Arabidopsis thaliana: one gene and its partners. The protein of the gene in region 3 purifies or fractionates together with the protein of the main gene of each other region. This does not show direct contact. Each region holds a gene or a part of one and is shown on either strand. Other genes may lie near its edges.

Region 1 (7,218 bases), on a different chromosome or scaffold from region 3:
TCATAGCCTTTTTTCTGTACATTCTTATTCAAGAGGCCTTTTTGAAGAGAGAACCAGATTTTGATGTTTCGATGAAGAAAAAAGAAAGGGGATTTAGAGGAAGTCAAAGCTGCTCCATTTGATCATCATGAACTCTTGTTCTGAAGCAATTATCGGTCTTTGACCATCCTTGTTTGAATCGCTCAGCTCCTGATAACTTCTTTGCAGAAGATCAAGAATCTCCACCTCTCTGTTTTTGATACCAAATCCATTTATAAAACAAACTTTGAAACAAGATCGATCTGATTAAGAATTTAGGTTAGGATTAGGAATATATCATACCTTGAGTAAGAAGCTACCATTGGACTCTGTGTGGGACAACGAGGACCTTCATCGTATCCTTCACATATAACCTCTCCATTATCATCTGTGTAACAGATGATCCCTTGTATCGGATCTTCAAAAACCTGTTCCAAGAAAAACAATTTCAACATTCATATTTTTACCAAATGGTTGTGTCTGAATTTTCAAGAAAATTATGATCCACTCTAAGGAGAAACAAAAAGAGAGAGATGATCTTACAATGTTCTTGGTGGAGTATCTGATCGGCTGAGGCTGTGAAACTGTGGCTTTCTTGACTTTAACATGAACTTGACTCTGTTGAAGCATCAAAGTCTTTGCTCTTACTGTCTTTGGAACAAAACATGGTGTTTTAAGAGGAAGATAAAGTTTAGTTGAATATGCCATAGCTTTTGTGTTTCTTTCTTTCTTCAAGAAGAAACTTTGATCTCTTCTTTTTGGACAACTCGTTTGGTTTATAGTTCTCAGAGAAGAAAATTATAAATTCCGATGATTGATTGAATCTGAGTTTAATTAAGATTTTTTTTTAAGTCAATTATATATAGACGCAAGGTGAAGATAAAATAATAGCCAATAAGAGTGGCAATCTCATTAACAAGTTTGGTTGTCTTTTTCGTGGGGTTTGGTTAGTTCTTCTAATGGTTTCGTTTTTCTTCTTACGTTTGATTTTTGATGAACGTCAATGTGAAATCGTTGAATATATCTACACATATACATGTGTATGTCTAGTCAGGTGTATTTTTATTACATAAATTTTTATAAAACTATTATTGGGATTTCTTACTCCGTTAATGTTTAAAAAATATTACTAAGAAAACTACTTAGATTCTGTAACACTTATATTTGAGAAACAAAATGAGTTTTATAACCCGATTCTTTGACAAAATAATATGAGACAAAAACAAATAATTCCCCAACTGAAATAGTTTATAGACTTAAGACATTTTACCTTCCTTCTGACCTAAAAAGGTAAAAAAGACATTTGACCTTCCATCGAAACAATTAATCTGTCATTACATTAATTTCAAAAACTTGCGTGCTATTAGTTGCACTTGCATTCAACCAATTTTTTCGTTATGTTGAGATAATATTAATATTAGAGTAAAAGAAAAACTAAACATCGAGCAAATTAGTTGTTACAGTGCTTATCTGCCGTCCAATGACGAATTAACTCCTACTTAATTAAACCGTGGCACGTGTCGATATATCAAGCGTCATGATAAGCTTTTAGGAGCATTTTTAATTGCAAAATGACAATAATTGGTGTTATATTATTGCTATGATTTAGACAAGAGACTAATTGTAGGCTAAACATGGAGACATCGTCGTACAGTTTCTCGGGAAAAAAGCTGTCTCTTCTTAACCACAATAAGGTACGTTCGAGTCAGAGGCTCCGAGCAATGATATTTATTTCGCTGGTTTGATTACTAAAGAAATGCAAAACAATACTATAATAACAACGAATATTCCTCCACCAAATTAATTAAACTCTTGCGAATCTTTATTTTGTTTTGTTAAAAGAATAATACAACAGATTTATACAAGTTTCTGAGTCATCAGCAACTTTGGAATCCTTATAATAGTTTATGAACATTTTTAACCAAAAATACATATAAATGGTGGAACCATAGATTAGAAGGGTTGGTCACAAAATGTTGGAGCAAAACTTCCAAAATCGCTTTTAACAATTTTTAAAAAGACTTCCAAAATCCATTTTTTTCTGTCGGTTAAACCAAATTTAAATTATAATTTCGATAGAGAATGTTTAGATCGATCACCCGAGTCGATAGTATATAAATTGTAGTACATTGAATGAAAAACTATAATCAAATATTTTGTGGTCTCTGTTTCAGGAGGTTGGGAGGTTAAATACGTCACCAAAGTTTTTATTAATTTTCTAGATCGTCGTCCACTTATATCATCGCGGAGTGGTGGCCTAACTTATCAATATCGTACGATCTCCAAATTTAATATAAGCAAGTTTGATTATAAAATTTGATACAGAAATTATTTAACATTATCTTCATCATCACTTATTTTATAATTAACAAATACTAGAAACATACGTCTACGAGTTAAAGTAATGGGTTTAGGCTAAAAGATTTGGTCAAGAAGTATACAGTAGCCTAATTGAAGGTCCGTTTAATGGCGTATGCTTCTCATATTAGACTTAAGTTAAGGCCCGTTTGATAAGATATTTAGGCCCATTAACAGCCCAAGTGTTAATCAAAGTCTAACTTGTTACTCAAGAGTGCTTGTCTACGGGAGCTAAAAAGGAACTGGGAAGAGTTTGTTTCTTCGATTCGTAGATCAATTCTCAGCTGGTAAAGTTTTTTTGCATCCATACAAGTTCTTAGTTACTTGAATCGTTTCCTATTTTTTTCATTCGATCTGTAATGTTTTTAGGGTTTAATAACTTTTGTGCAGACATTGAGGTTTATCTCAGATCGAAATCGAGAAGAAGATGTTTCTCACTAGGTACAAAATTGAGCATTTCTTCCTTCGATTTCTTCAGAATCGTGTATCACCGTTTCTGGGAAAACTTCGAATCCAACGATTATGGTGCTTGTATTGATCAAGTTTTTTTTTTTTTTTTTTTTTGTTCTTAAGGACTGAGTATGACAGAGGAGTCAATACATTTTCTCCTGAAGGTCGTCTCTTTCAGGTTGAGTATGCCATTGAAGCTATCAAGGTAATTTATAGATTACTCTAGCTGCTAATAGCTTCTCTAGAATCTAGTAAAGTTGGGATGTTTCTTTGTTTGCTTAAACGAATTTGGTTACTTAATCCATTATTGTGTTAGTGTGCTTTGTTGGGGAGTAGACAATAGATTGGGCATGCCCTTTTTGTATCCATTGATGGGTTTGTTATGGTTTGATTGCAGCTTGGTTCTACTGCTATTGGTGTAAAGACGAAAGAGGGAGTTGTTCTTGCAGTCGAGAAGCGTATTACTTCGCCTTTACTGGTATAGTTTCTCTCCTTGTATCTTCTCCGTGTGACTCCACTGTTTTATTAACATTTGTTATGTTTAGCAGTTTCCATCTGGTTGATTTGTTAGTATCTAAGAAGTTTTCTTTGCTTTACTATTTCCGTGCCTTTATGATTTTGGTACACGCACATTATGCTACAAATTTAGTCTTGAATTGGCATGAGTGATAGAATCTGAAAGGTAATATTAGTATGAATTTGTAATACCTTTTTGAGTTTACCCTATGATGGTAACTACTTTCTCAGTCTCTTTTTTATCTTTTAAGTAGGAGCCGAGTAGTGTTGAGAAGATTATGGAAATTGATGACCATATAGGTTGTGCTATGAGTGGTCTGATTGCTGACGCGCGAACACTTGTTGAGCATGCACGAGTAGAGACCCAGGTGAGATCTCAGTTTCTGACTTTCTGTTTCTCATGGATTTGTTTTTACATCAAAAGTTCTTTCTGTTACCAACTGGTTTTATTATGTTGAGCAGAACCACAGGTTCTCGTATGGTGAGCCAATGACTGTAGAATCTACAACACAAGCTTTGTGTGATCTTGCTTTACGGTTTGGTGAAGGAGAGGAAGAGTCAATGGTAGTAATCGCTCTATTACCTTTATAGCATAGGAAGAGTCAATGGTAGTAATCGCTCTATTACCTTTATAGCATAGGCAATGTTTAGTGGATTTCTCTTCTTTCTGCTTGGAAATTATGATCAATTATCAGAGATAAACCCTTAGATTGGGGTTTTAAATTTTTGTTGTGAATTAATAGATATAACTCTTTAGGAACCACCACTATAACAATCCCTAATCTTCCATAATGTTTTAGCAAATATTCTTTGGTTCTTTACTGTCTCCTTTTTATATGAATGTACTTATGCTCGGTCTCACAAACTTTTTGCAGTCTCGTCCATTTGGAGTATCCCTTCTCATTGCTGGGCATGATGAAAATGGACCGAGCCTGTAAGTTGTTATTCATTTCGCTTATATCATTTTCCAACTGTGTAGATGATCTCAAATTGGTAAACAACAAATGTTAAACAACTCAATCCTGTATAGGTACTACACAGATCCATCGGGAACATTCTGGCAATGCAATGCAAAGGCAATTGGGTCTGGCTCAGAAGGAGCTGATAGTTCTCTCCAAGAGCAATTCAACAAGGTACTAATAACGTGATTGTTTCACTGTCCCAAGCGCATTACAGAATCTATTTCTTTTGAAGTTTCCTTGAACTCCAATTTCACAACTCTTACAGGATATAACTCTTCAAGAAGCTGAAACAATAGCTGTATCTATCCTAAAGCAAGTAATGGAAGAAAAGGTATTCAATTGATTACAAGTTTGTTTATTAAAAATCCCATTAAATCCCTCTCCGGTTTAGCCCTTTTTGATACTCTCTACTTTTCTGGTTTAGGTGACTCCAAACAATGTCGACATTGCCAAAGTCGCACCAGCTTATCACCTCTACACTCCTCAGGAGGTTGAAGCCGTCATCAGTCGTCTATGAAGAAATAAACCGCCATTCTCTTCCTGTTATCTTACCTTGTCTGTTCGGTAATTTATCAGGCTTCTGTCTGCTTCCGGTTCTCTAAACCAAAAATTAGTTTCGTTTAATCAGATAATGGATTTTATCGAGTTGAGTTTTATTGAGCTTTCTATCTACATTTTTTTGTCGTTTTCAACAAGAAGTTAAAACTAATAAATATCTGTCCAAAAGAAAAAATCAGAACTTGAAAGTTGAAATCTATTATGTACATATCATCATTGTACGTCGGAAAAAAAATCTCAATTATAAGATAATTATATATTTATTATCTATATAACCACCCTCACTGAATTTAACCCAAACCCCATTAAGAGAAGCGCTGATCGTGAAAACCTATCTTTAGCTAAATCTTTAAAAAAATAAAATATATTTCTTTGAGGTTACAAAAGAATATATTGTATTTTTTAAACATATCTTTAGCTAAATCTATAGAAAAAATAATAATAATTGAAAACTTAAGAAAACAAATAATAAGTGATTAAGTTTACAGAGGGGGCATTCCCATAACCGCCTTTGGAATCCAATTATCATCCCCTCGGAGAAAATACTTAACCGTAAACCTTGCAGCCTCATCATCAGACGAAATGGGCTTATACCCAGCCCATTTAACTCTCTTGGATAGATCCGACCCAGGACCTGAATTCTTGTACTCTCTATAGAATATAGTACGTGGAGGCGGGTCATAAGTCGAATTCCACGCAATCCACCCAGCGGGATTCACGAACGACCCAATCACCGATTGCATAATAACCGTCTTCGAAAACAATTTCCACGGACGGCCAAGATACGTCGTAGCAGTTACATTTCCGTTGGGAGAGATTGTGCATTGGTGGATCGATATTCCCGTGTTCTGATTGGCCTCTTGTGTACCTTCAGCGGTGATTGTGTTGAACTGATTCGGAAGCGGCTGACGCGGACGGATGCTGCAGCCTTGGAAGACGACTGTGCCAGCTCCGAAGATGAAATCAACTGTTCCGGTGACGTCACAGTTACGATAGTATTGTCGATTTGAGTGAGTATAAAGAGTATCTTGGTAGCCGTCGAATGAACATCGATAGTAGACTGACCGATCGGAATCTGATCGGAATGCTACCGCTTGATGCTTCTCTGGCCCGGCGGTGTTTATGATTCCCATGTCCTTCATCATAAATCCTTTGCCTTCAGTTGCTGCGCGTAACAAGTTAAAAAGTGTTTAAAATGACCATGTTACTTCAAAAAAGCAGAGAGTATAAATAAGAAAGATGAGAGAGGTACCAAACGTGGAGGTATTGAAAGTACGAACCCCGTCGACCATGTTAGTGCTACCGGAAATAATGGTCTTATCCCTGCCGTCGCCGTAGATAAACACATTCCATTTATCCTTTTTCATAAGGACATTCTCCACATACGTACCTGCTTTCACGTATATAACAAACATCGTTTTCCCCTTCTTCGGAACTCTCCAAACCGCTTCATTCACCGTCCTCACATCGCCGGAGCCATCCGCCGCCACCGTAACATGAGGCGTTAAGTTCTTCGCTTGAAGTAACCGCCTCACTCCTGGTCTAACCCAATTTGGAAACGAATTCGAGTTAAGTAGCCGTCTCCCCTGAACCGGGATCCTAGACTTGCTTGGTTTTTTGAGAACCTGCGCGACGATGGCTAAGCTGTTGCTTGTGAACTCTGTGGAATTAACCATGGCGGATTTAAGCTTCTGTGGGATTGGTGAGTTGTAGTTATCTTCATCAAGCGTGTCGCCACACGTCCCGATATCTGTTACGGCGGAGCTAAGCCACGTTATGAGATCGCCGATCGTTGACGAATTCAAATTCTTCTTCCCGCCACTAATTACTTCATCCAAGGAGGAAATAGTATCGTTAACTGAATCAACCGCGAGGTCGAACACATCTGCGCAAACACTAAGCGCCGATTTGAGTCCCTCATCATTAGTCTCTTCCGCGAGTTTCTTCGGTAAACCAACGATGGAATTGAGTTCGTCGAATGTAACTTGTAACGAAAGCCTGAATAAAACCTTCGGATCTGTCGTCGTTTTGGATAATGGAAGCTTCGAGATGCTTGAGATACAAGAAGCAGGGTAATTAGTTACATTACACACAGTTCTGAGGACTGAACTCGGTGTTGGATGAGGTGACTTTCGAAGCCGCGGGGACTGAACTCCGTGTCTTTCGTGTATTGGAAACTTCGCGATGATCGCTAAGCTGTTGCTTGTGAACTTTCTGGAATTGACCATGGCGGATTTAAGCTTTAGTGAGATTGGTGAATTCGCGTACTCTGTTTTGTTCTGGCTGAGTTCATCAAGTGCGTCGAGACACGTGTCGTGATCTGTTACGGCGGCGCTAAGCCAAGTTTGAATCTCGT
Region 2 (8,860 bases), 9.2 Mb from region 3:
GTAGCAGTGCAAGTGAGACGAGAATTGGAGTTTCTGAGTCGGTGAGATTGGTGGCTGAGATTAACTCTGTGAGTGATGTTAACGAGTCTAGGAAGTGATGATGATGAGTTTCTAGTGATGAAGGTGAAAGGAGAGCTGCAACAATGGCTGCCAATGCTCTCCATTGGAGGTGGTGTGATAAGAGATTTTTTTGTTTGTGTTCAGTCTTCAAAGTATCAAAGCCAGTAACAATCAATTATAGAGAGTTTCGCTTTTTCCTATGGGGAAATTGCCAAAATCACATGTCCATAAAATATCTTCTAAATATGATTTTTATTGATTATTTAATATTTTTGAAAGAATAAATAAAAATATTTAACTCTTCTTCAATCTTAAACCATTCTTTTCGTAAAAAATACGTAAAGATAGATCAATCATAAATGTCCTAGGAATAAGATACGTATTAGGTAATGTTTTTCTTTTGAAATTAAAATAAAAGTATTTATATATATATTTTTGATGCACTTTTTGATCAAAAATCTCTCTAATATTTACTAATAACATATGAGTTTTTATAAATTCTATCTCAACCAAAATGTTATATTCTTAAAAATTTACAAATCGTTAATTTGCATTAAATACTTGAATTAACTATTTTCTTTATTTCTTTTTTAGTCCCTACAAAATTTATCTAAAAATATTTTATTTTAAATTTAAATCTTTAATTAATTTTTATATTTATTAAATTACATTCAATTAATTGCTAATTTCCTAAAATCTATATATCTACATTAATAATAAATATATGATTTTTCTTTCATTTTTATTTGTTCTTATATCTAATTTATTTTTATTTGATATATATAATACATATAGTTAAAAATATATTAGTTTTTTCTGCATATGAGGTAATTCAAAATTTTAAAAACACACATATACTACTCAATCGATGAAGAAAAAAAATAAGTAGAAAAAATCCCACATTACTTTAAAAAATTGAGTAATAGTTCAGAGTCATACATGGCTTTCAAAGCAAAAACTATAGCCTACATAACAAGGTTCAACACAACCTGATTACAAAGAATTCTATAAAACAAAGATGGGCCTATTTCTTTGATCACACTGTGTCTTAGTAAAAACTAAGAGTCTCAAAGTCTGTAATCTGAAAAATCAAAGGAAGAAAAATTCAGGGAAACGAAACAAACACAAATGAGAAATCAAATAAATTAGCGAACCAAATTACAAAAACCTAAAACAGGAGGGAAAGCACTTACTCTTGTTATAAGAAGTAGACTTGACAAAAATAATCTTAAAAGGAAAAGATGATAACACTGAAGAGTTTGGAACAACTTTCTGACGGGAGATGGATTAGGTCGAGGGAGATTATACTATTAACAGAGGAAAAAAACCAAAAAAAACTCCATTTATTTTTAATTTGTTCATACCTGCGTTATTTAATTTGGCCGTTTAATACCTAAGTTAATTTTTATGTTCATTAAAAACCTTCATTTTTTTAAATTTTGGCAAAATCAGACATGCGAGTTAACGGGCGTTAACAATGGTAACGGAATCGCTAACCGCAGTTAAAACTTAACCATATAATGTTTACTATTTATATACAATTTGTTTTCTAATAGTTATGATCATATTATCTTAGTCCCAGTGGTTTTGAGAGAGATTATCATCCTCATCAGTTCGAGATCGATTCTCATCTCCAACAAATTTTTTGATTTTTTTTTTTAACAAAAGGCAAAATCTCAGTAATCCGAGTTACGATTTTGAATTTGATTCTGAGACTTTCTTTTGTTTAGCACCACGTTTGTTAGATCTGCTTCAATTCGATTTTGAGAACGAGCTAAATTAGATTCCTTCATCTCTTCAATTCATATTAAGGTTTTCAATTTCTAGATCGATTGATATGAATAAGTCAGCAAAGATTGCATATTCCCAGTTTTTGCTGATATTTTGCGTTGAAAAATCCAGACTTTGTTTTTCATTGTTAGTAACGTTGATAGCTTATAGAAAGATTATGTTACCATTAATTGCATCTGTTGATAACAAATAAGATCGATTATCACAAATCTATGTTGTATTAATTGGTCTAACATTTGGGACTTTTGGTTGGTGATTGATTTTGGTGCAATATCCTTTGGAGAAAGAAGTGAAGCAACACACAAGTGCAAAGCCTGTTGAAGTGAAAGAGATGGCTGACTTCGATTTTGCCTTTTTGTTAAAAAAAAAAGAAAAAAAATCAAAAAAAATTTTGGAGATGATAATCGATTTTGAATCGATGATGATGGTAATCTCTCTCATAACCACTCGACTAAAATAATATGTTCATAATTATTAGAAAACAAATTGTATATAAATAGTAAACATTATATGGTTAAGTTTTAACTACAGTTAGCGATTTCGTTACCACTGTTAACGCCCGTTAACTCGGATGTCTGATTTTGCTAAAATTAAAAAAAAAAAAAAGGTTTTCAATAAACATAAAAATTAACTTAAATATTAAACAGGTAAATTAAATAACGCATGTATTAAACGGACAAATTAAAAATAAATGAAGTATTTTTTGTATTTTTTCCCTCTTAACAAATTAGGTTAACAATTCTCCCGTTCTCACGCATCTTTACCTAATCTTCCGGATATAAAAATACTATTACTTTGTTTTGATCTTACAAAAAGGCCCAATGTGTGAAATATTAGTTAATGGGCCTTAGGGATGGGCTTCTCAACCTAAAATGAAAAGCACGAGAGAGGATGAAAGAAATCGGAGAAGGCAGTAGGATCTTCCACTTGCCGCTCTTTGAAAATCACTCGCCGTGTCTCTCTAAGCTTCTTCTTCACTGTGAAAACCTCAGATCGCAAATATGCACGCACCGGTACTCGTTCTGAGTGAGTATCTCCATCTTCCTCCAGATCTCATTTCCTCTAAATCGATATTAGTTTTTTGGTAACGAGATTAACTCCTTTTGTGAAAATGGTTTAGGCGATTCGTTGAAGCGTGAATCTGGAAGTAAGGTTCATCATGGTAATATCCAAGCTTCCAAGGTAAATTAATCCTTTTCTATGGCTCTTTTTCTCTGTGATGCTTGTTGCTTCTCTCCTCTGGTTTCAGATCATCGTTGTTTTTGTGGTACAGGCTGTTGCTGATATCATTCGTACAACATTGGGTCCTCGTTCTATGTTGAAGATGCTTCTTGATGCTGGTGGAGGTCTTTTTCTAAACACTTCCTCTTTTTTTTAGGCTTTTCATATCTCTGTATGTGGGTAGTAGATCTCTGTAGTGAGGGAATTAGGTTTAGTGTTTTTAGCTTTGGAAATGTTTTTCTTATGTACTCGTTCTTTGTTGAAGCTATTGTTCTTCAGTTTCGGTGTTAGTTTTATATAAACCCTAAATCAATATTTGGGTTCTGTTTGTCTTGTTTTTTTTTTTTTTCTGTCTACCTTTAATTTTTCTTAATCTGTGTGTTATCATCATATCTTACCCCTCTTTGTTTCTTGGATCTTTACAGGGATTGTTGTTACTAATGATGGGAATGCTATTCTTCGTGAGCTAGATGTCGCTCATCCTGCAGCTAAGGTTTTACTTCTGACCTTTCTCTATCTATTGTTCTTGTTAAAATTGTTTTACTTATCCATTTTTGACTCTGGTGATTGCAGTCAATGATTGAGTTGAGCCGTACGCAAGATGAAGAAGTTGGTGATGGGACAACGTCTGTTATTGTTCTAGGTACGAACATTCTTTTTTGCTAACAAATAGTTTGTCAATGGCTTGGTTTGGACCAGTTTTAATGTATTTTTAACTAAAGCACAAACAAATTACTTAAGGATATTATGGGTGCTGCAGTATTCAGTTCAACATCATGATCTCTGTTTATAATCATGGGTTCTTGAAGTCCTCTTTTTGTTTGCTTTTTGCCAACAGCTGGTGAAATGCTTCACGTTGCAGAAGCGTTTCTTGAGAAGAATTACCATCCCACAGTCATATGCCGAGGTATGCTGGCACTATGAATTGCTTATTGTTGTCATGTTACACATGTCGTTTTCATCTTAACGAATGCATTCTTCTCTGCAGCTTACATCAAGGCTCTCGAAGATTCTATTGCTGTTCTTGACAAAATTGCTATGTCAATTGATATCAATGACCGTAAGTCCATTTCTACCTTGTATTTGTTCATTTGGAGTTGACCTTCAGCTACTTTGGTTTCTGAAGTTAGTTTTTCTTTCACGTTTGTACTGATGGAAGAATGTGTGAGTTGCAGGTTCACAAGTGCTAGGATTAGTCAAGAGCTGCATAGGGACAAAGTTCACTAGCCAATTTGGAGATCTTATTGCGGTAAGTACCGTAATTACAGTAGCTTCTTACTTATGCATTACCAGTCCAGGTTTTATTGCTCCTTAATATATATTGGATATGTCTAGACAAGTAGGTATAGATACAGCATACATCTTGAAGTGACTTTTTAAATGTAAGATGAGTAACCATGAAATAACTTGAATTTGATGACTGCTTTCTTCAATTCTTTTGGTGGTTTTCGATTGTTGAAATACTTGTAGTATGAAGTTCTACAAGTTTGATTGTCGTTGGTACTCACATGATTTTATATGACTTTATGTACTGTTTTAGGATTTGGCTATTGATGCCACTACTACTGTTGGTGTTGATCTTGGACAAGGTTTGAGGGAGGTAGACATTAAAAAGTACATCAAGGTTGAGAAAGTTCCTGGTGGTCAGTTCGAGGACTCTGAGGTTCTTAAAGGAGTTATGTTTAACAAAGATGTTGTTGCTCCTGGTAAAATGAAAAGAAAGATTGTCAACCCACGGATTATTCTTCTTGACTGTCCTCTTGAGTACAAGAAAGGTGAAAATCAAACCAATGCTGAGTTGGTTAGAGAAGAGGACTGGGAAGTGTTGTTGAAGTTGGAAGAGGAATATATCGAGAACATTTGCGTTCAAATACTAAAGTTCAAGCCTGATTTGGTTATCACAGAGAAGGGTCTTAGTGACTTGGCCTGTCACTATTTCAGTAAAGCTGGGGTAAGTGCAATCCGAAGGTTGAGAAAAACTGACAACAACAGAATCGCCAAGGCTTGTGGAGCAGTAATTGTGAACAGGCCCGACGAACTGCAGGAGTCTGATATCGGTACTGGGGCTGGCTTGTTTGAGGTCAAGAAAATTGGAGATGATTTCTTTTCTTTCATTGTTGATTGCAAAGAACCCAAAGCCTGTACTGTACTCTTAAGGGGACCAAGTAAAGATTTCATCAATGAAGTGGAAAGAAATTTACAGGTTCGTTGGTGTTATTTACAAATCTGTATTTCTTAATCATTCATAACCTTATATGCCTGAAACATTGTCCCTACAGGATGCCATGTCTGTTGCAAGAAACATTATCAAAAACCCAAAGCTAGTTCCTGGTGGAGGAGCCACAGAGCTAACCGTTTCTGCCACATTAAAACAGAAGAGTGCAACAATTGAAGGCATAGAAAAGGTCGGTTTTGCTTTTATTACATTTTGTTTCCTTGCCTAAAGTTGTGTGATTTTGTGTCAAATCTATATCGAGCCTCTAAAACGAGTATGCTGTTCCCACGGTCGCTGATAAATGTTCTTTTGTTGGTCTGAATCTTATTTAAACAGTGGCCTTATGAAGCAGCTGCCATTGCTTTCGAGGCTATTCCACGTACCCTGGCTCAAAACTGTGGGGTTAACGTGATCCGTACTATGACTGCATTGCAAGGGAAGGTACTGTCCTGTACTAATGAACCCCAACTGCCATCTCTTGCCCGTTGTTTAAGTATATACCAACTCTTTTCTCAATGCTTCAATTGTCGGTTTTGGTGCAGCATGCAAATGGTGAAAACGCATGGACTGGTATTGACGGGAACACTGGTGCAATAGCTGATATGAAAGAGAGCAAGGTAAGGATTAAATCACATAACCTTGGTTGATTCTCACAACATGAAACCAATGTGACTCAGAGAGTTGACTAAAAGCTTTTAACAATTTTCCAGATATGGGATTCGTACAATGTGAAGGCGCAAACTTTCAAGACGGCTATAGAAGCAGCGTGTATGCTTCTAAGGATCGATGATATAGTGAGTGGAATCAAGAAGAAGCAAGCTCCTGGATCTGGACCTTCAAAGCCTACCATTGAGACAGAAGGAGATGCAGACAACGAACAAATTCTTCCCGACTAAGCGAAGGGAGAAACACTTTGGTCTCAGCATAACTCAATCTCTGTTTTCACTTGTTTAATGGTTGCACTCTTTTGGCTATTATCTTCCCTTGACATATCTTTTAATTCTGCAGTTTGACTTGGTGAGATAAGATTTTCGAGGGTGGTTTTTTTTTGTTTGTTTTGGAATATTAGCTTTTTTGAATTTTCGTAGTCACTTTGTTGGTTTTTAGAGTGCTAGTTGTTATTGTCTTTTTGAAATTTCTGGCACTAGAGACTTTTTTAGTTTGTGTCGTTTTTGTTTGAATATCATCAAGTATGTACTTCAACTGGATCTTTAGTTGACCGGTTAGTGTCAAATTGTGTTTTTGTTTGAACACCATTAATTGCATTTCAGACGTACGGATCTGTTATTTAGAGTTTTGGGTTATTATTCAGGTTGACTCGGTCCGAATTTATTTATACGGGTTGGTTTTGTTACTGAAAACCTTTAAACTTCGCTAGTTAAATGAAAATTGAAAGTTTAGTTATGTTGATCTTGATCTAATTTTACAGTAAACTAGAGGAAATACGGGCTACGCCCAAATTTATTTTAAAATTTTATTTCTGTTTTTTGTATTGTTTTTAGTTCATATATTTTTTTTTAAATTTGCTATATCTAAATAGAAAATTAGTTTGAATTACTTATATTTTTATATACTATCTATTTGTGTTATTTAAAATGAAACTGAATCACCTTTTATTTTTATTTTATTTTATTAAAGATGATTGTAATATAAATAGTTTTTCTTAACTCAAAATAAATGGGTTTGTTTTCACAAGACTTTTTTATTTTTTCATTTCTTTGAGGTTTTGTTTTGAATAATTATTGGATTTTCTTTTGTTGGGTTTAGTTCATTAGTTGGAATTATGTATAGTAAACGTATTAAACTCAATGGGTGGATAATTTGTAAAATTTATTTGTAAAAGCTAATTTTGTATTATTAGATTGGTAGCATATTGTTCAATTCTGCATATATACTAATCATTTATTAAATAAAAAAAGTTAATAGTTCTTATTATGTATAAAGATTCGTTAATATTTTCAAAATTAGTTATTTGTAATTAACGTAAATTTGATTTTTTGATTTTTTAATTAAAATAATGAATTACATTACCTTCTTTTTTGTCAACTAATAATTTATATTACCTAAATTTTATAAAAACTGTCATTGAAAAATTGGACTTTGTGATCTCAGAAATAAATTATAAAAATATTAAGTTTCTTTTATTTAGTTTTGTTAGTTTAAACCATTTTAATTGAAATCCAAGAAAAAAATAATATTTTATTTTAAGCATTTAATTTGCTTTTGTTTTTGAAGTAAAAAAATCAACACTTATTTTTTCTAGTAATATTTATTAAAACATTATTTATTTTTTGTTTTCTAAATTTTTTTTTAATAATTTGGTGACATTGCATTTAGAGAGAGTATTTAAAAGAAAATATGATGTGGCATCTCTAAAATGATTTTTGGAATGATGATGAGGATGACTTGAGAAGCCTCAAATTGTTTCTTTTATTAGCAGTAGATAATACTATTTTAATCATATACTATCGTTTTCTTATACATTTTATATGGGAAAAAACTCTAAAAAAACCTCATATATTTTTAATTTGCCCGTTTAATACTTCGGTTATTTAATTTGTCCGAACAATACCTAGGTTTATTTCTTTTCGCTTTAAAATCTTTCGTTTAGTTTTTGTTTGGAAAAATCAGCTTCTCGGGTTAACGACTGTTAACTTCGTTAACGGTGTGTCTAACTGAGGTTAATACTTAACCCCACGTGTTTTATTCGCCCAATATAAAGACACTGTTACCCTTAACGAAAACCCCCAAATCGATTTGTTATTATAAACCCTAGTTCTATTAGCTCTTCTTTACAAGAACTCTTCTTATTTCCAAAAATGATGAGCCAAAGTTCAGGGTCTGATGCGAATTCAATTAGCCGTAGCTGAGTCCTCTTTGCAATTGTGGTAGGGCAACGACAGTTACAAAGTCATGGACAAATGAAAATCCGGGTAGAAAATTTTTCAGATGTGGGACTCATGGCTTCATCAATTGGGCAGATGAGGAGAAGCCATTTGGTTGGCAAAAAGAGAGTTTATTGGAGGCTCGAGATGAGATTCGTCAACTGAAAGAGTCTTTGAGGTCAATGAAAGAATAGTTACCGAGTGGGTCAGGGTCTGCTACTAACGAGGATATGAAGAAGCACAAGGAAGAGAAGAATAAGCTTGAAGAGGAGAAGAAGAAGCTTGAGAAGGAGAAGAAGCAGCTTGAGGAGGAGAAGAAGCAGCTTGAGGAGGAGAAGAAGCAGCTTGAATTTGAAGTTATGGGTGCGAATGAGAGGGAAAAAGTGCTTAGGCAGTTGATTGTGTTGTCTTGGGGATGTTTCACTGTTGTCATTGCAATGTGTCTGGGAATGGGAAAGAAGTAGGCTTTGTAATAGGGAGTTATGGATGCTAGGAAGTTCTTTGCATTGTTTTATGGATGTTCTAATGCTAGTTGTTTTAGAAGTTCTTTGTTGTTTGCTGTGTTGTTGTTGTAAAACTCTTAAATCAATGGTAATATCCTACTTTCATTGAGTCAAAAGAGCCGAAAAATCAGAGTAAGGTCTAGATCCCACCCAAAAAAAATCGGGATCCTACCAATCATACACAT
Region 3 (8,256 bases):
ACTACTTAACACGAGGGTTTTTTTTCCGGTTTTTTAATTACCTCTGATGTCTTTCTGGGAGAAGTCAAACAATCTGCTAAGCCTTCAAAGATCTTACCAAATGCTTCCAAAGCAAAGAAATTTCCTTCACTATCGTTTTCAGTATCAGAGGAGTTCTTTTCCTCATGGAGAGAATCAAATGTATCGTATAGTTTAGGACCTTTGAACCGAAAATAAAGAATATATTAGAGAAGAAAGAAACGCAACTTTGGCGAAGATGGCTTCATCATAAAACCAAGAAATATGATCTTCAAGTAAGTACTTACAGTTGAGTAGCAAGTAAAAAAGATGAATAGCTTCTTTCCGTACATGTAAGCCACCTTCTTTTCTTAAAAGTAATGAAATGCTTTCAAACACTTCCTTGGAGACAAAACTGGCCAATGAAAAGAATTTAACGTTATATGAATGCAGATGTTCATATGAACAGACAAAGAAAACGGTTTTGAGTGCTTACCTTTCTCTAGCAGTATAAGCATCGGTGCTCATCACGATTATGTTCATTATCGACAATGCTTCCTGTTTCACATCCTGTTCGGTTCTTTTACTAGCAATTTGATTCATCAATTTAAACAGAGAATGCCAGTTTGCATCCCAACTAATAAGGGATCATGAAAAAAAAAATCATTACAATGATGATTTATGGTTAATGTAAGAATTTAGAGTAAAGAAATATTGGAGAAAGTTAGAGAACTAATCCCAGATAGAGAGAGTAGATACCTGGCTTCAAATCTCTTTTCATCACCACATATATGTTCCAACAGCACATGTAGTACACGCAGAGATCTATGAACAAGAACGGCCTGCACAACAGATGAATTAATCAAGTCACAAAAAAAGAGGAGAAATATAAAAAACATCCAGAAAGCTACAACTTGCAGATAAAGCTTTGAATCTCAATCCGACTTACAGTTTCCGCTTTACAAAGATCAAGTAGTGGTTCAACCAAGGTCTTCAAATTTACAAACCCATAGCTGATCTTCAGAAGACATAGGCGGTTCAATTAGATAGTCTGACCAATAACTTATACATCGACAAGTATAGTGTTTGAACTAAAAGCCACACCTTTGTTACTGCAGAGTATAATTGATACACTTTCTCAGATTCTAAGGCTTTAGAAGATTGTCTATCTGACGAGGTTTTGGCTTCCTGTTTGTTAAGTTCTTGAGGAGGCGTACTGATTTTCATAAAACTAAAGAGAATCTGGAGATCTGTTGAACAAGCCAGTAGCAACTCTGAGATTAGATTTTTCCTCGGATCTTGATAATTTGAGGTGCGCCAGATGTCTAGCAGTTTCTTTGAAAGGTCAGAATGATTGGCCACATCAGCCTGAACACCAGTGGTCTTGAAGCCTGACTTAAGCCAAAGCAAAAAATAATGAATAGACAACCAAGAAATTTTGAACAAAATAAAACTTTCAAAAGCGTCAAACTAATTATTGCCAATATCAACATTCACGTACTTCTTTTATCATCTAACGCCATCCTAGAGTCGTTTTCTCGATGATTTACTGAAGAAGTTGCGACATCTGGTTCCCTGTTTCACAAGACTTCTTAATTAGACCACAGTTGGTGATTTGCAACAGATAAGGAAAGTGCACGTAAGCTAATGAACGGTAAATTCAAATTCTCCAAACAGGAGATAAAAAGTGTGGGTAACCGCTTGCACCACAGTTACTCAACATTACAAAGAGTTTCACCTTCCAGCATTGCGATTCACTAATTAAATTTGGTAAAATTGATAAGAATGCAAAATCCTGCAAATGGTTGAACCCTATCATGATATATTCTACAAAACTAGATACATACTTAAAGGCTGCTAACTAAGAATTAGATCCAAGTACATCAAAAACAATCTAAAGATCCAATTTAGATGCGTCATTTCGCCTAACAAGAAGAGAACAACATTCACTCACAAGTCTATCCTCTTAGAAGCATGAACCGTAGAACATTGCCCTCTATTATCATCAGCACACAAGTTTCTAGACTCTGTTTCTTTGCTTTTCCCCTTCTTAAGCTGAGAACATTCTTGCTCCTGGAACAATCAAAGATAATTTCAACACTATATATACATGAAAATGGAAACTCCAATGAACTAAAAAACTCAAAGATATGAATATACCACATCCAGCAATTGCTTCGAGACACGTTCCAGCTCCTTCTGTTTAATCAAATACCACAAAGAACAATATGAGAAACTACATCTTTGTGATCACAGAGAACGCAATAATAAAACGAAACCCTAACCTTTAAGCGATCAATTTCGAGATCTTTCTCACTATCACAGCGACGATTCGAAGTAGTCGGAGAGATAGGTTTAGCAGCAGTAACAACAGTAGAGTTAGAGTAATCCATTAACGCGTCATTGAAACCGCTTACTACTCTTTGAGAGAGTTCTCTCGGCGGAGAATAGCTTAAGAAAGGATCAGGAACTTGAATTTGTTTCCGTTGTTGTCCCGCTGAGGATTGTAACTGCATAGGGTGAGATAAAGACGATGAAATCTTCGTCGATGGCGGAGGAGCCGGTAGAAACGTTGGAAGATACGGAGGAGGTAGGGGGCGATACATATCGGCTTTTTTCAGGGTGGTTTCGATTGAATCGATGGCGAGGAGAAATTCGTCGTTAAATTCTTCATCATTTCCACTCATTCTCTTTCTCTCTATCGCTCGAATGACTGATAGCGAGTGAGTGGGAAAAGAGGCGAAATCGAAATACCCATTTAGTGAGCAGTACGCCTGACACGAATTCGGATATCCGGAACAATTGTGATATTTGTTATTCGATTGGTTTTAACGGAATATCTGATTTTGTGATTTACTTTAATTCAAAAAAATTTGGATATCTGAATTTTTATGTGATATTTTCGAATATCCATTTTGATACTGACATATTGTACATGTAAATATTAAACAAGACTGTAAACTATATAACAATATCAGATATTCAAATTTTTCATTTAACATGCTTTCAAAATAAATTTTAAATAGCAAACATAACCGTTGTTGTTATCACCGGTCATCAAGTTGTTGTTATCACCGGTTATCAAAATGTTATCTAATTAATTCCAAAACATAACCTAATAGATTAAATTGTCATTGATCAAAACATAACATAAAAGAAAAATGAGCAAATAAACATCTTAACATGAAAACATAAGGTAACAACAATATACAAACTATTTATGATATCTATATTTACGGATCCATCGTAAATAATCATCTTTCGCTTTAAAGTTTTTGATGGAGCAGTCGGTAAAACTTAGGATCCAAAAAACTTTTTGTACTATTACTATTATTTATGGTTAAAATTCTCTTTTTCTTATTAACTTGATTTCTTTATGTGTTTTATATTATTTTTATAAATAATTGAAAATCATTTTTAAAATTTGCAATATTTTATTAATATTGTAAAATACCGTCATAATAAAAATTATTATGGTAAACCATAAATAAGATTATTTAGTAATCAAATGACATTGATCTAATATTTATATTTTTCTTTTCTGAAAAAAACTTTCTGGTTCGTTTCTGTTCCGGTTTTCAAAACTCTGTCCGGTCATGTGGAATGCTAAATTACAAATCCACCTTATTATAATTTAAATTACATAAATACCCCTTAAAACTCACATATTTATACTTTGGTCCCGGTAGTTCTCTTTTCTTTTTAAATTAAAGGATTATCTGCTTAGCAAAAAAGAAGAAGAGAAAAGGCAATGTTTTGAAACCCGACCCGGACGATGAACCGGACTACCTTCTGGGTCACCGGGTCACCGGGTCAACCGGGTTGGACCACGGGTTAATTAGTTAAAATTTATTTAATAAATTTAATATTAATAGAAAATTTAGAGTATTTTATAATAAAAAAATTTGTAGTATTTATAAATATAAAACAAAAATAATCATATCATATTTAATCAAATATAAAATTATATTATATTTAACAAAATATAAAATCATTTACACCCAAATATATATATATATATATAGAAAAAATCAAACAATAATAATAAAGTGGTTAAAAATTTGAAATCCAATAAATGTCTAACACCGTAACAAATATATTAGGAGATCATCAATGACATAAATAAATTAATAAAACATCGTGAATTAAAACAACTAATCTCGGTTGTCTCTCTCACCATTCGATTCAATTTTAAGGCGGTATTGTAAAGTCTTCAACAAAATCTAAAACATCAAATGAATTTAAGAACTGAAAAAACTTCTAAAAATAATTGAATAAAGTCTAAAATCCCATATTTTATTGTAAAATCAAGAGAACTTTTTAAAACCCACACCCGGCCGGTTCAACCGGTTCACCGGGTCACGGGTTAATTGCGAGTTTTTGTGGGTTTTTTCGGTTTTGAACTTGTTGGGTTTTAGCACTAAACCCAAACCGGAAAAGTGTTCGGGTTACGGGTTAACCGGTCGGACCGGACGGTTCGGGTCGGGCGTGAAAACACTGAGAAAAGGGTTTTTTAGGATTCTTTAAACGCAGAGCTGAGCTGAGTTACATAAGATCGAGAGAATTCGCAAACTCGTTTCTTCATTCGTCTTCGTCTTTCGCCATGGCTGCTCTACAATACTTGGAATCTCTGAAAAATACGCATCCAGAGCTCGGCGAATGGTACAATTCCCTTGCAGATCTGTATCAGAAAAAGCTCTGGCATCAACTCACCCTTAAGCTCGAACAGTTCATCGCTCTCGCTGTCTTTCAGGTACTTTTGCTTCTCCTCCGTAATACTAATTGGTTTCAATATCTATCTAGGTTTAGTAGTGGTCCTTGTGGATTTTAGGGTTCATAGATCTCGACAAATATCGTAGAATCTGTGTTTTTACTTCCGAATAACACGAGTTAGAGATCCGTTTGGAAGATGATAGGGTTTTCTCGGATTAAGTTCTTCGAAGAAAGTTAGGTTTTAGGGTTTATAGATCAATTTTGATTGCTTCCAAGTTTTTGTGTCTGATCTTAACCTGTGTCATTGTTATAATATAATTTTTTTTCATTTCAGGCTGGTGATGCTTTGATTCAGTTCTATCACAATTTCATCACTGACTTTGAGACGAAGATCAATCTTCTGAAGCTTGCGCATTTTGCTGTGGTGGTCTCTCGACAGTACTCTGAGAAAGAAGCTGCAGTTAGCTATCTTGAAAGCGTGATTGAGAAACTTAGAGCTACTAAAGAGCCTAGGATTACTGAACCAATCATTTATATTGAAACACAAAAAGCTTTATTCAAGCTTGAGCAAGGTGATCAGAAGGAGTGCAAAAAAATCTTGGACGATGGAAAGAGCTCTCTTGATAGTATGACTGACATTGATCCATCAGTCTATGCCAACTTCTATTGGGTGTCTTCTCAGTACCATAAGTGCCGTCAAGAATTTTCTGATTTCTACAAAAGTGCTCTGCTTTATCTTGCATACACGTCTGTGGAGGACCTTTCAGAATCGTTTAAGCTGGTATGCCCCTGTAATATTATGTACCTTGTTCTTATATTTTGTTCTTATGTTAAGTTTCCTGTTAGCGATAGTGGATAAGAGTATTCAGAAATTTGATGAAATTTAGAGGAAACTGAAGAAAAAAGTTGCGTACTAGTTAGCTTCCCTAGAGTCACCGATCAAATTTTGCTAATGTCAGATCATATCTGTGTCTTTCAGGATTTGGCTTTCGATTTGTCACTATCAGCTCTACTTGGGGAGAACATCTATAACTTTGGGGAACTGTTAGCCCATCCCATTGTAAGTTTTCCTTCATCCTCGACATAAACTACTGTTATATTTTCTTGTGTAGATAAAAGGCTTCTTGTTGATCTTTAATTGCTTGGATTTACGATAGATACTGTTTGTGAGTTGAGACGGCTTCTAACTCTCATGTTATAGTTTTGCTTAGAATTGTAGATGGTTCTCTTACATGTAGCATTTCTCTGATGACAGTTGAAAAGTCTCCTTGGAACAAATGTGGAATGGCTCTACCACATTCTACAGGCATTCAACCATGGTGATTTAGTTCAGTATCAAGAACTATGCCGTGTGCACAACGCATCCTTGATTGCTCAACCAGCACTTGTTGAGAACGAGAAGAAGCTTTTGGAAAAGATCAACATTCTCTGCCTTATCGAGATCATCTTCAGGTAAACTTTTCTCTAGGCAATTGTACCTCACGCCGTTTCAATCAAAGAAATAAAATCATGTGCTAATACATTTGATTTTAAACTCTACATCAGCCGACCCGCTGAAGATAGAACCATTCCTTTGAGCATCATCGCTGAGCGTACTAAACTTTCCATTGAAGATGTTGAGCACCTTCTCATGAAGAGCCTTTCTGTAAGTATTAGTATCTCCTTGCATTTTTCTCTCTTGTGTTCTTTTAGTACCCAAAAAACTCTGCAGCTTCCGGGTTAAAATCTGTTGTGGTGACCAAGGAAAGAGTTTGTCTGAGTGACCAACATAATGATACTGAACTACCTGTCATCTGATTAAGAACAACATAGTAAACATCACCATACGCATTGTATCTCTAGGTTTATGTATTTGCAGTTGTCGTCTTATTGCGTAATTTTGTTATAGAACTCAAATGATCTTGACTGGTTTTGTTCCTGACTTAGACATAGAATGATTGTGTATGCTTCTGTAGAATCTAAAGTGGAAAATGAATGATACAGGTGCATTTGATCGAGGGCATCATAGACCAAGTGAACGGAACAATTTATGTCTCATGGGCGCAACCGAGAGTACTAGGGATTCCACAGATCAAGGCTTTGAGGGATCAATTAGACAGTTGGGTTGACAAAGTTCACACCACTTTACTATCTGTTGAAGCCGAGACACCAGATCTTGTTGCAGCATAAGAGAAAAGAAAACCTTCTTCCTCCTTTTGAAGCTACTGAATGTAAAACACCATCTTCTCTGGGATTAGATTCAAGTTTTTTATTTCAGTCGTAGAAGAAATTACAATTGCTTTTTAATCTTTTGACTTCCATTTCAAGATGTCCGAAATTTCAGTTCTACATTTAGACTATTTTCATACATTTTTTCTTAAAACATGTCCTTGACAATCATTCATTATTCACATAACCATAACAAGTCAATCAGTTTATAGAAAAAGTCATCTGATAGGATCTAAACGTGGACTCACTCACTCTGAATAGTTGATTTGAGCCTAAAATTTGGGGATTCTCGCGGCTTCTGGCACTGGTCTCCGATTACGTCACTTCCCGATGATTTCATCTTGGACTCATAGCGCGTATACCAAGATTCAATTCCCAACAATCTCACTCCTTTCAAGGCGTTTCCGATCATTGTTACGTTGCACAGAACATTGTCTCTATGCACTCCTCATAACCCTGAAACACGTCACTACCGTTGGTATATTCTTTCTCCGACGCAATGGCTTTATCCTTATCGCTTCTCTTCCTCCTATGCCTGCTCATGGAAGCTATATTGCTTTAGGTTCAAAAGATTTACGTTTTTAGATGGCGTTTATGATTCCGGTGTGACTTCGAGAGTGTTAACCACTGTGGAGATGTGAATTCTAAGAAGTGAGAGTATATATGCGTGTGTCGTTGATGATGTATTGTACTACTAAATTTGTGCTCTAAACCATAACAGCTAGACATAATTCTAAATTTCATGTTATGGTAGGAAGATTGTTGATTTCATTGATCTAAAAGACTAAAAGTGAAAATGTATTATACTTTTGGTTTTGTGCATTGAGGGTCATCAGTTTAAGAAGCAAATGTGGACAAAAATTCTGCCATTCCATATCTCTTCATTATTAAAACTTTTCTAATTTTTTTATAACTAATATTTCAGAGTATGAAAATGAAATTCAAATTATTGTACACATTTAGGAATTCATATAAATAAATCAAATTACTAACGATTATAAAAAAAAAATCAATACAGAGTCGAATTTTTGAATGAATTCAAATATAATTGTCAATTAAAAAATAACTGTACTATCTCTAGATTTATTTATTCAACAGAACTTATAATTATAAGAATCCCGAAAGTAATTTTTGTGATCAAAATGGCAGAAACCACATGGCCATGAGTCGTCTTGTCTGTACGATGATTCACTCTTTTTCTTATAAAATTTTGATTCTACATTATTGTCCCTTATTTTTTTGGCCTTTTGAATAATGAAGGTGAATTTATAAAAATACGCAAATCTTTAATGTTCAACATACATATATAGATTCAACTTGCCGGAACAAATGTGTCGA

Evidence for each region. The genes of interacting proteins can lie anywhere in the genome.
Region 1: the proteins of AT5G45620 (region 3) and PAE2 fractionate together in Arabidopsis thaliana (co-fractionation; one large-scale study listed by BioGRID). This does not show direct contact.
Region 2: the proteins of AT5G45620 (region 3) and AT5G26360 fractionate together in Arabidopsis thaliana (co-fractionation; one large-scale study listed by BioGRID). This does not show direct contact.

The regions. Positions count from the first base shown.
Region 1 is NC_003074.8:4,761,561-4,768,778, forward strand, and holds PAE2 (20S proteasome alpha subunit E2), read left to right. Parts: upstream 1-2,463; 5' UTR 2,464-2,663; intron 2,664-2,766; 5' UTR 2,767-2,803; coding exon 2,804-2,817; intron 2,818-2,949; coding exon 2,950-3,031; intron 3,032-3,223; coding exon 3,224-3,304; intron 3,305-3,596; coding exon 3,597-3,710; intron 3,711-3,804; coding exon 3,805-3,906; intron 3,907-4,217; coding exon 4,218-4,276; intron 4,277-4,372; coding exon 4,373-4,475; intron 4,476-4,569; coding exon 4,570-4,635; intron 4,636-4,728; coding exon 4,729-4,821; 3' UTR 4,822-5,049; downstream 5,050-7,218. Other genes in the region: AT3G14280 (LL-diaminopimelate aminotransferase), read right to left, coding at 94-229, 322-446, 562-726; ATPMEPCRC (pectinesterase family protein), read right to left, coding at 5,345-6,027, 6,115-7,218. UniProt on the Arabidopsis thaliana protein: The proteasome is a multicatalytic proteinase complex which is characterized by its ability to cleave peptides with Arg, Phe, Tyr, Leu, and Glu adjacent to the leaving group at neutral or slightly basic pH.
Region 2 is NC_003076.8:9,252,884-9,261,743, reverse strand, and holds AT5G26360 (TCP-1/cpn60 chaperonin family protein), read left to right. Parts: upstream 1-2,715; 5' UTR 2,716-2,852; coding exon 2,853-2,877; intron 2,878-2,971; coding exon 2,972-3,033; intron 3,034-3,124; coding exon 3,125-3,197; intron 3,198-3,497; coding exon 3,498-3,565; intron 3,566-3,645; coding exon 3,646-3,715; intron 3,716-3,910; coding exon 3,911-3,979; intron 3,980-4,060; coding exon 4,061-4,132; intron 4,133-4,247; coding exon 4,248-4,321; intron 4,322-4,612; coding exon 4,613-5,275; intron 5,276-5,351; coding exon 5,352-5,477; intron 5,478-5,623; coding exon 5,624-5,728; intron 5,729-5,829; coding exon 5,830-5,904; intron 5,905-5,997; coding exon 5,998-6,183; 3' UTR 6,184-6,691; downstream 6,692-8,860. Other genes in the region: PWD (chloroplastidic phosphoglucan, water dikinase (ATGWD3)), read right to left, coding at 1-164. UniProt on the Arabidopsis thaliana protein: Molecular chaperone; assists the folding of proteins upon ATP hydrolysis. Known to play a role, in vitro, in the folding of actin and tubulin.
Region 3 is NC_003076.8:18,496,990-18,505,245, forward strand, and holds AT5G45620 (Proteasome component (PCI) domain protein), read left to right. Parts: upstream 1-4,496; 5' UTR 4,497-4,600; coding exon 4,601-4,750; intron 4,751-5,044; coding exon 5,045-5,491; intron 5,492-5,689; coding exon 5,690-5,770; intron 5,771-5,965; coding exon 5,966-6,162; intron 6,163-6,255; coding exon 6,256-6,355; coding exon of another isoform or gene 6,356-6,433; exon of another isoform or gene 6,434-6,693; coding exon 6,694-6,879; 3' UTR 6,880-7,155; downstream 7,156-8,256. Other genes in the region: SUV2 (protein dimerization), read right to left, coding at 42-199, 306-412, 494-634, 757-839, 947-1,015, 1,102-1,388, 1,499-1,572, 1,952-2,070 and 2 more. UniProt on the Arabidopsis thaliana protein: Acts as a regulatory subunit of the 26S proteasome which is involved in the ATP-dependent degradation of ubiquitinated proteins.